Linked DNA regions of Sus scrofa. The protein of the gene in region 1 interacts with the protein of each later gene in a biochemical or structural test. Links are inferred from orthologs where the notes say so. Each region holds a gene or a part of one and is shown in the gene's direction. Other genes may lie near its edges. The genes, in order: PLXND1 and SEMA4A.

The links.
Region 2: the proteins of PLXND1 (region 1) and SEMA4A form a complex in vitro, tested with the Homo sapiens proteins (2 studies listed by IntAct, with this or other methods). The link is inferred for Sus scrofa from reciprocal best matches to the Homo sapiens genes PLXND1 and SEMA4A.

Annotation. Positions count from the first base shown.
Region 1 is NC_010455.5:68,993,618-68,998,104, reverse strand, and holds the start of PLXND1 (plexin-D1), read left to right. Parts: upstream 1-1,479; 5' UTR 1,480-1,535; coding exon 1,536-2,849; intron 2,850-4,487. UniProt on the Homo sapiens protein: Cell surface receptor for SEMA4A and for class 3 semaphorins, such as SEMA3A, SEMA3C and SEMA3E. Plays an important role in cell-cell signaling, and in regulating the migration of a wide spectrum of cell types.
Region 2 is NC_010446.5:93,876,093-93,879,897, reverse strand, and holds part of SEMA4A (semaphorin-4A), read left to right. Parts: intron 1-78; coding exon 79-203; intron 204-372; coding exon 373-545; intron 546-1,831; coding exon 1,832-1,982; intron 1,983-3,805. UniProt on the Homo sapiens protein: Cell surface receptor for PLXNB1, PLXNB2, PLXNB3 and PLXND1 that plays an important role in cell-cell signaling. Regulates glutamatergic and GABAergic synapse development.

The DNA of each region.
Region 1 (4,487 bases):
TTTCAAAGGTCATAGTTCTGCTCCTTAAGCGCTGTGCCTCTTGGGCCAGTCCCTTCACCTCTGGGGCCTCAGGCTCTGCATCTATAAGGTGGGACTATAATAGTACCAGCCTCAGAAGGTGGCTGTGTGGGTGAAGGGCTTGGCAGAGTGCCTGGCAGGGGGCGAACTGCACCTTGGCACCCACTGTGGCCAAGGCCATGCATACTCCTGATGCAGGCTCTATGGCCCTGTAGTCATCACTGCCTGCCTGGGCCCCAAGTGCTCACCTGCTCCTCCCAGGTGAAAGGAGAAGTAGGCCCAGTGCCAGCTCACCTGTGGCTGATCTTCCACTAAATCTGGGAGGATTTTAGATCCTTCCAGAGTCCCAAATAAAGTGAGTGGGAGGGCAGCTTGGTCTCCAGAGGAGGCAACTGTGGGCGTCCTAGGGCCATCATCCTCCAGGACTGACATCTTACTCTGGGTGGCCCCCCGGTTGGCACAGGCCTGAAACAGTTCCTCTCCACGTTCCCTGTTTCATGTCTGACCCTGGAGCTCTGGTCCCTTTGTCCCTGTCACCTGTCCAACCTCTTTTGGGGCTGGGGTTTGAAGGACAGATCATGGGATTGAATGGGGTGGTGCCCCCTCCCCAGCTGCCCCTGGGGGTGCCTGTGAAAGGGAGTGGAGAGTGAGGAGAGAGAGGGGGAGGGCGCCAGAGAGGAGGGTGGACAGAGCGGGTAGAGGGATGGAGAGAAAGAGAGGGAGGGAGACAGAGACTGGCCGAGGGGACCGGGGTAGGGGAGGTGGGAGGAGAACCAGGCACAGAAAAACGGAGAGAAGGGAGAGAGGATACAGGGGAGAAAGTGGGGGTGGGGGCGACGTAACACGGAGAGCGAAAGACAAGCAGAGACTGAGACAAGGAGCGACAACACGCAAGGAGTCGGGGGGGTGGGGGTGGAGGGGGAGCACAGAGACAGGGAGACACTGAGAGACAGACATCGAGAAGGGAAGAGAGACAGAGACGGCAGAAAAAAGGAAGGAAAAAATAAAACAAGCCCGAGAGACAGGCCAAACAGCCAAGAGGGAGAAGGAACTAAAGCAACCAGCGACGGAGGCGGAGGCAGCACCGGGAAGGGAGCCCTGGGCCGCGGTCGCCGCGCGGGAAGGTCCTGGAGGGCACGGGGCGGCGGGACACACCGACAGCCGAGCGGGGGCCCGGCAGCCGGAGGGCAGGGTGGCAGCCGGGGGCTGAGGCCCGGGACGCCAGGGGAGGTGGGCCCCGGGCGGGAGGGGGCCCAGGAGGCGGGGCGCGGCCGGGCGGGGCGCGGCGGGGGCGGGGCGCGAGGGCGTGTCCGCAGCGGAGCCGCCCCCGTCCCGCCCCCGGGTTGCGCTGAGCTGCTGAGCCCGGCCGGGGCGCCGGGGCCGGGGGCGGCTGGCGCGGGCAGGAAGCGCCTCGCGGCCCGGGCCCGCCCCCCGCCTCCTGCCGCCTCCGGACTCCCGGCTCCCGGCCGCGCCGCGCCCCATGCACTCGCCGCGCCGCGCAGCCCGCGCACGCCCGGATGGCTCGTCGCGCCGCGGGCGGCGCACCCCTTAGCGCCCGGGCCGCCGCGGCCAGCCCCCTGCCGCGGCGCCCGCCATTCCCGGCCCCGTCGTGTCCGCTTCTGCTTCTGCTGTTCCTGGGGGCGGCGCGGATCGACGCTCTGGAGATCCAGCGCCGGTTCCCCTCGCCCACGCCCACCAACAACTTCGCCCTGGACGGCGCGGCGGGGACGGTGTACCTGGCGGCCGTCAACCGCCTCTACCAGCTGTCGGGCGCTAACCTGAGCCTGGAGGCCGAGGCGGCCGTGGGCCCAGTGGCGGACAGCCCGTTGTGTCACGCCCCGCAGCTGCCTCAGGCCTCGTGCGAGCACCCGCGGCGCCTCACTGACAACTACAACAAAATCCTGCAGCTGGACCCGGGCCAGGGCCTGGTGGTCGTGTGCGGTTCCATCTACCAGGGCTTCTGCCAGCTGCGGCGGCGGGGCAACATCTCGGCGGTGGCGGTGCACTTCCCGCCCGCCGCGCCGCCCGCCCAGCCCGTCACGGTGTTCCCCAGCATGCTGAACGTGGCGGCCAACCACCCAAACGCGTCCACCGTGGGGCTGGTCCTGCCGCCGGCCGCCGGCACCGGGGGCAGTCGCCTGCTCGTGGGCGCCACGTACACGGGCTACGGCAGCGCCTTCTTCCCGCGCAACTCCAGCCTGGAGGACCACCGCTTCGAGAACACGCCCGAAATCTCCATCCGCTCCCTGGATGCGCGCGGCGACCTAGCCAAGCTCTTCACTTTCGACCTCAATCCCTCCGACGACAACATTCTCAAGATCAAGCAGAGCGCCAAGGAGCAGCACAAGCTGGGCTTCGTGCGCGCCTTCCTGCATCCTCCGGACCCGCAGCCGGGAGCCCAGACCTACGCGTATCTGGCGCTCAACAGCGAGGCGCGCGCGGGCGACAAGGAGAGCCAGGCGCGGAGCCTGCTGGCGCGCATCTGCCTGCCCCGCGGCGCCGGCGGCGACGCCAAGAAGCTCACTGAGTCCTACATCCAGCTAGGCTTGCAGTGCGCGGGCGGCGCGGGCCGCGGCGATCTCTACAGCCGCCTGGTATCGGTCTTTCCCGCGCGAGAGAGGCTCTTTGCGGTCTTCGAGCGGCCGCAGGGAGCCCTGGCGGCCCGTACAGCTCCTGCGGCGCTCTGTGCCTTCCGCTTCGCCGACGTGCAAGCCGCAATCCGCGCCGCACGCAACGCCTGCTTCGTGGACCCCGCACCCGACGTGGTGGCGGTGCTCGACAGCGTGGTGCAGGGCACCGGGCCAGCCTGTGAGCGCAAGCTCAACATCCAGGTACGCCCGGGCCGCCGGGGTGCGAGGGTGCGAGGGACCATCGAGGGAGAGCGTACAGTAACTGGGCAAGTTGTGTAACTGGGCAAGGTGTGACCGTGATGCAACCCAGATATGCGTGTACGGGGACCCGAGTGTGTACTCTGGGCCACAAATGCATTTGCGGGGACCCAGGTATACTCGACAGGATATAGGCGGGGATGCAGGTGTTAGCCGAAGTGGTGGGGGGACTTAGTGTGAATATGGCTCAGGTGTGAGCATGGGGCACTTAAGTTGCCTGCTGAATTACAGGTACGCATATCTAGGTGTGTGGGAGTGGTCTTGGTCTCCAGGTGGGCGCTGGAGAGAGAGCCAACTGTGCGCAGCCCGCTGGTGGTCACAGGTGTTTCAGGGCTGAAGCTGAAGGCACAGCAAGTGAGTGCAGTGTCTGATCAAATATGTGTTCTGGGCCAGCTCTGTGAGCCCATCAGGGCTGCCTTTGGGAGTTGGCAGATGTGTGCACGGGTGTGGCAGGTGTGCAGGGAGGCAGGCAGGTGTGGAGCATGGCCCTGCAGTTGCAAGGTACGTGCAGCAGGGACACTGGTGCAACAGGGTGGGCCTAGGTGCACAGTGGGATATGTGGCAAGGGACACAGGCATTTGGGAACCAATAGGCACTCTTCAGGGGGCCACTGGTTGGCAAAGAGGTGTGTTCCTGAGGCCAACTTTTATTCACTCATTCAACACAATTTACTGAGTGTTACACTTGCACCAGGCATGGGGGCTAGTGGGGAAGGCAGGAGCAGTTGTGGGATACATACCCCATGGCCTAACTCTAGGTTTTTAACAGTAACATGAAGATATACTTTGTTCTCATCCCCATTTTACAGATAAAAAAACTGAGGCACAGAGTTTAAGGAACTTGTTCAAGATCACACAGCTAGGAAGCAGCAGAGGCAGGATTTGAATCTGGGCTGTCTGGCCCCAGCATCTGTGTTCTTAATGCTGCCCAGCCCTTGCTGCCTCACAGCTCAGGGTGTGTGTTAGAGGAGTCCCAGTGGCTGGGTCAAAAGGTGCTGGCCTCGGGAGAGTGGAGAGAGGTGAGCAGACTGCATGCAGCACCGGAGTGCGGGAGGGGACAGGGAGGACCAGTGGTAGGACCACAGCAGCTGGGGCTTGGGCTGGGCTGGGCAGTGACTAGTGAGCCAGGTTGGGGGATTGATGTCTCTTGGGGGGACATGACACAGGGGCCCAGTACAAGGGGGAACTTTGTGTGGTTCCACTCAAGGAAGCCCATCAAGGAGGGGTCACTTCTTCAGGGGGTCCTGGGAGGTGTCCCTGTGCCTTTTCCGCACTGAGTCTGTGAGGAGACCTGGCCACTCCCGGGGGAAGCCTTAACTTCTCAAAACGCAGAACTCAGCCTTCTCCTCCTTGGGGCCAGGCCCCCTGTAGCCCTGCCCCATCCCTTCTCCGTGATCCTCAGGCCCTGGCAAGCTCATGAGGTTAATTATTCCCCTGTGGGTGTGCCCAACACTGGGGCTTTGAGAAAACGCAGATTCCTTTGCTTGCAGCTGGGTCCCCATGCTGCCCACCGCCCGGCTGGCCGGCTGCCCTGATGGTAAAGGTCACAGTGGGTGAGCAGGCAGACGGGCCCAGGAGCCTC
Region 2 (3,805 bases), on another chromosome or scaffold:
GAGCCAAGGGTTTTCACAGAGGGGAAGCCAGGGCATCCAGGTGCTCCATCTCTAAGCCTATCTACTCCGCCCTGGCAGCGGACGCCTCCTTTGTGGCAGCCATTCCTTCGACCCAGGTCGTCTACTTCTTCTTCGAGGAGACAGCCAGCGAGTTCGAGTTCTTCGAGAAGCTCCACACATCCCGGGTGGCCAGAGTCTGCAAGGTCGGCCAGCGGGGTGGGGGGCGGGGCTGACCGTGGAGAAGCCAATGAGGGCGTGACATGGGCGGGGCTGAGCATTTAGGACCCAATCGAGTGGGAGGGAGAGGGCGTGGTTTCCGGGAGGGGAAGGGGGAGGACACCCCGGGCCCTCTGACTCCTCTGATGCCCCTAGAACGACGTGGGGGGAGAAAAGCTACTGCAGAAAAAGTGGACTACCTTCCTGAAGGCCCAGCTGCTCTGCGCCCAGCCCGGACAGCTGCCCTTCAACGTCATCCGCCACGCCGTTCTGCTGGCAGACAATTACTCCACTGATCCCCATGTCTACGCAGTCTTCACCTCTCAGTGGTGAGCAGCTAGGCGAGAACTTGGGTCTGGAAGTGGGATTTGGGATCAGCCCCCATGTTGCCTTGGCTCACCAGGGAAGGTAGGAACTGATGTGAGCCAAGCACACACTCCACACTTCGCATAGGAGGGTGTTTGATCACTGTCTTCCAGGAATTTGACTGATGCCCTTAACGTAAATCAGAAAAGTTCTGATTAGTTTATACCCTGCCTGGTTCCAAAAAGGATAGGAGGCAGCTTATGAAAAGCAAATGTTAAAACCTATGAGGAAGTGTTAAAAAAAGGAGAATAAGAGAAGCCAGAGATAGGGTCAGCACATTATAAATGTTTGTCATTTATACAGTCTCTGTCATTTATACAGCCCATATTTACCTCTGGGCTTCCTAATGGTCAGAGTGAAGAGCGAAACATCATCAGTAACATAAGATAAAAATAAAGTCGTTGCTTGGAAGCTGAGAAAGTTTAACTTATTTGCTGTGGTCTGGCCCACAGGGTTCAGGTACCTGCTGACAGTGTGTCAGGTACCAAAGATATCTGTGGAGTTCCCATCATGGCTCAGCGGTTAACAAACCTGACTGGCATCCATGAGAATGAAGTTTCGATCCCTGGCCTTGCTGGGGGTTAAGGATTCAGCGTTGCCATGAGCTGTGATGTAGGTTGCAGATGTGGCTTGGATCCTGTATTGCCGTGGCTGTGGCATAGGCAGGCAGCTGTAGCTCTGATTTGACTCTATATGCCACAGGTGTGGCCCTAAAAAGACCCAAAGTTATCTATTGTTGTAAGCAGGGTCTGGTACCTGTGGCATCCAGAACTGAGAACATGGTGTAAGCCACCGTCAGGTTAAAGAGAACAAGAGGGACAGATCTTTTGCCTCCACAGATCAGGGCTGAAGGAATAAACATCATCTTGTAGTCAGGTTATGGTTGGTTATCTGAAGACCAGGAAATTCTGGGACCCCAAGCAAGAGCACTTCATCTGGAGCTTGTCAGGGACCTGGTTACACTGTCCCTCCCATAGAGACCCAGTCTGGGCAGGAAGGGCAGGAGGCACCCCTGAGCCCAATTAATTCTCATTAACGATAGTCACATCTCAGATCCTAAGATGGGCTAGAGTCTGGGGCTCTCCTTGCCCTTGTCACCACAGCTGGGCCTGACCCAGCTCTTCTGGGGTTTCTCACCAAGGTGGGAGGGCAGAGGTGGGGGGCGGGTGGGGTGGGAAGTAAGGGCTAGAGGGGGAGTTCTGGCACAGCAGAGGATATTACAGACAATGTCCCCTCTGGCTGTCTCTAGGCGGGTCGGTGGGACCCGGAGCTCTGCTGTCTGTGCTTTTTCTCTCAAGGACATCAAGCGTGTCTTTGAGGGAAAGTACAAGGAATTGAACAAAGAGACTTCACGCTGGACTACCTACGGGTTCCCTGATATTAGTCCCCGGCCAGGCAGCGTGAGTACTACCCCCCAACCCACTGAATGAAGCCCCTCCTCCCAGGCACGTAACATGCATGTCAAAACACCTGTCAAGGCATAGTACAAATGCCCAGCAAATGTGAGTGCTCCCCACACTCCCAAGTCCTGTCTGCTCAAATATATACCCATTCCAGCTGTCCAACCTCACCCTAAACACAGAGGAGTACCCTCTTCACCCCAGCTAAGTGCATGCCACATACCTGGGCATATCACTAAGGAAACAAAGGAGCACAGGCTAACACCAAGGACTGTCTTGGGCATCGTCACCTGCATTTCTTATTTCATTTTTGTTTTGTTTTTTGATCAAAGTCATATATGTACAACATTTAAAGAGTCATATAAAACTGCATGGCTGATTACAAAAAACAGCCCTATTCCCTATCCTTGGCACTTTTCCTGCTCTCGAGACAGCCACCTTCAATTCTTTTAGCTGATTCAATTGATATATATCTCCAAATCTCTAAATATTTTTATTGCTACTTTTTTTTTTTTTTTAAGGGCTACACTGGCAGCATATGGAAGTTCTCAGGCTAGGGGTCAAAATGGAGCTGCAGCTGCTGGTCTACAGCACAGCCACAACAACTCAGGATCCAAGCTGCATGTGCAATCTACACCACAGCTCACAGCAACATCAGATCATTAACCCACTGAGTGAGGCCAGGGATCGAACCTGCCTCCTCCTGGATACTAGTCAGGTTCGTTTCTGCTAAGCCACAACAGGAACTCCTTATTGCTACTTCTTGATGTTTCAGTTTTAGGCAATAACTGTTGAATTCCCATTCTGGATGGTGAGGATTTAACCATGTCCCCCCACCTCCTCACCCCCACTCAGCCATGTGCTGGAACTGCCTTGCAGCAACTTGCAAGAACCCTTTCCAAATGTAATTGTAATGTATACATGTAAGGATAACCTGACCCCCTTGCTGTACAGTGGGAAAATTAAAAAATTAAAAAAAAAAAAAAGAAAGAACCCTTTCCAAATTCACATCCCATGACATTATATGGATAGCTTGAAGTCAGTCATGGTGGGAATAATACATCACGGAAATCAGCACACACTTCAAATCAAGGTTCCCCCACCCATCATCCCAGAGCTGCCTTACCAACACACCCCTGCACCCACCCCTATCTCCCAATAGACTTTTATAGTAATTTTGATTTTATCAATATTTGTATTATGACTTATTATTCATAACTGAGCCAGGTAGTAAGCCATGATAACTTTTCTTTTCTTTTCTTTTTTTTTGTCTTTTTGCTATTTCTTGGGCCGCTCCCAAGGCATATGGAGATTCCCAGGCTAGGGGTCTAATCGGAGCTGTAGCCACTGGCCTACACCAGAGCCACAGCAACTCGGGATCCGAGCCGCATCTGCAACCTACTCCACGGCTCATGGCAACGCCGGATCTTAACCCACTGAGCAAGGGCAGGGACCGAACCCTCAACCTCATGGTTCCTAGTCGGATTCGTTAACCACTGTGCCACGACAGGAACTCCCCATGATAACTTTTCCTTTTTCCATAACTTTTAATTTTCCTTGGGGTTAGTAATTTATCTTAATTTTTTTTTTTTGCTTTGTTTTCTAAGCTCTTTATTTCAACCCCAAACCCTTCCTCAGTTATCCGAATCTATTCTGAAAACAGATCCATTAAGTGTTCTAAGAGTTTCGTTTTCCTGGAGATCCTTCCTATCCACTGCAGCCTGGACTTCCTCTGCAGCTTATCAACATTTGGGGTACAGCTGCCCTCCTGGAATCTCCCTTCCTCATCATTCTGGGCATTCCCTTTGCCGCTTTCTTGTGAC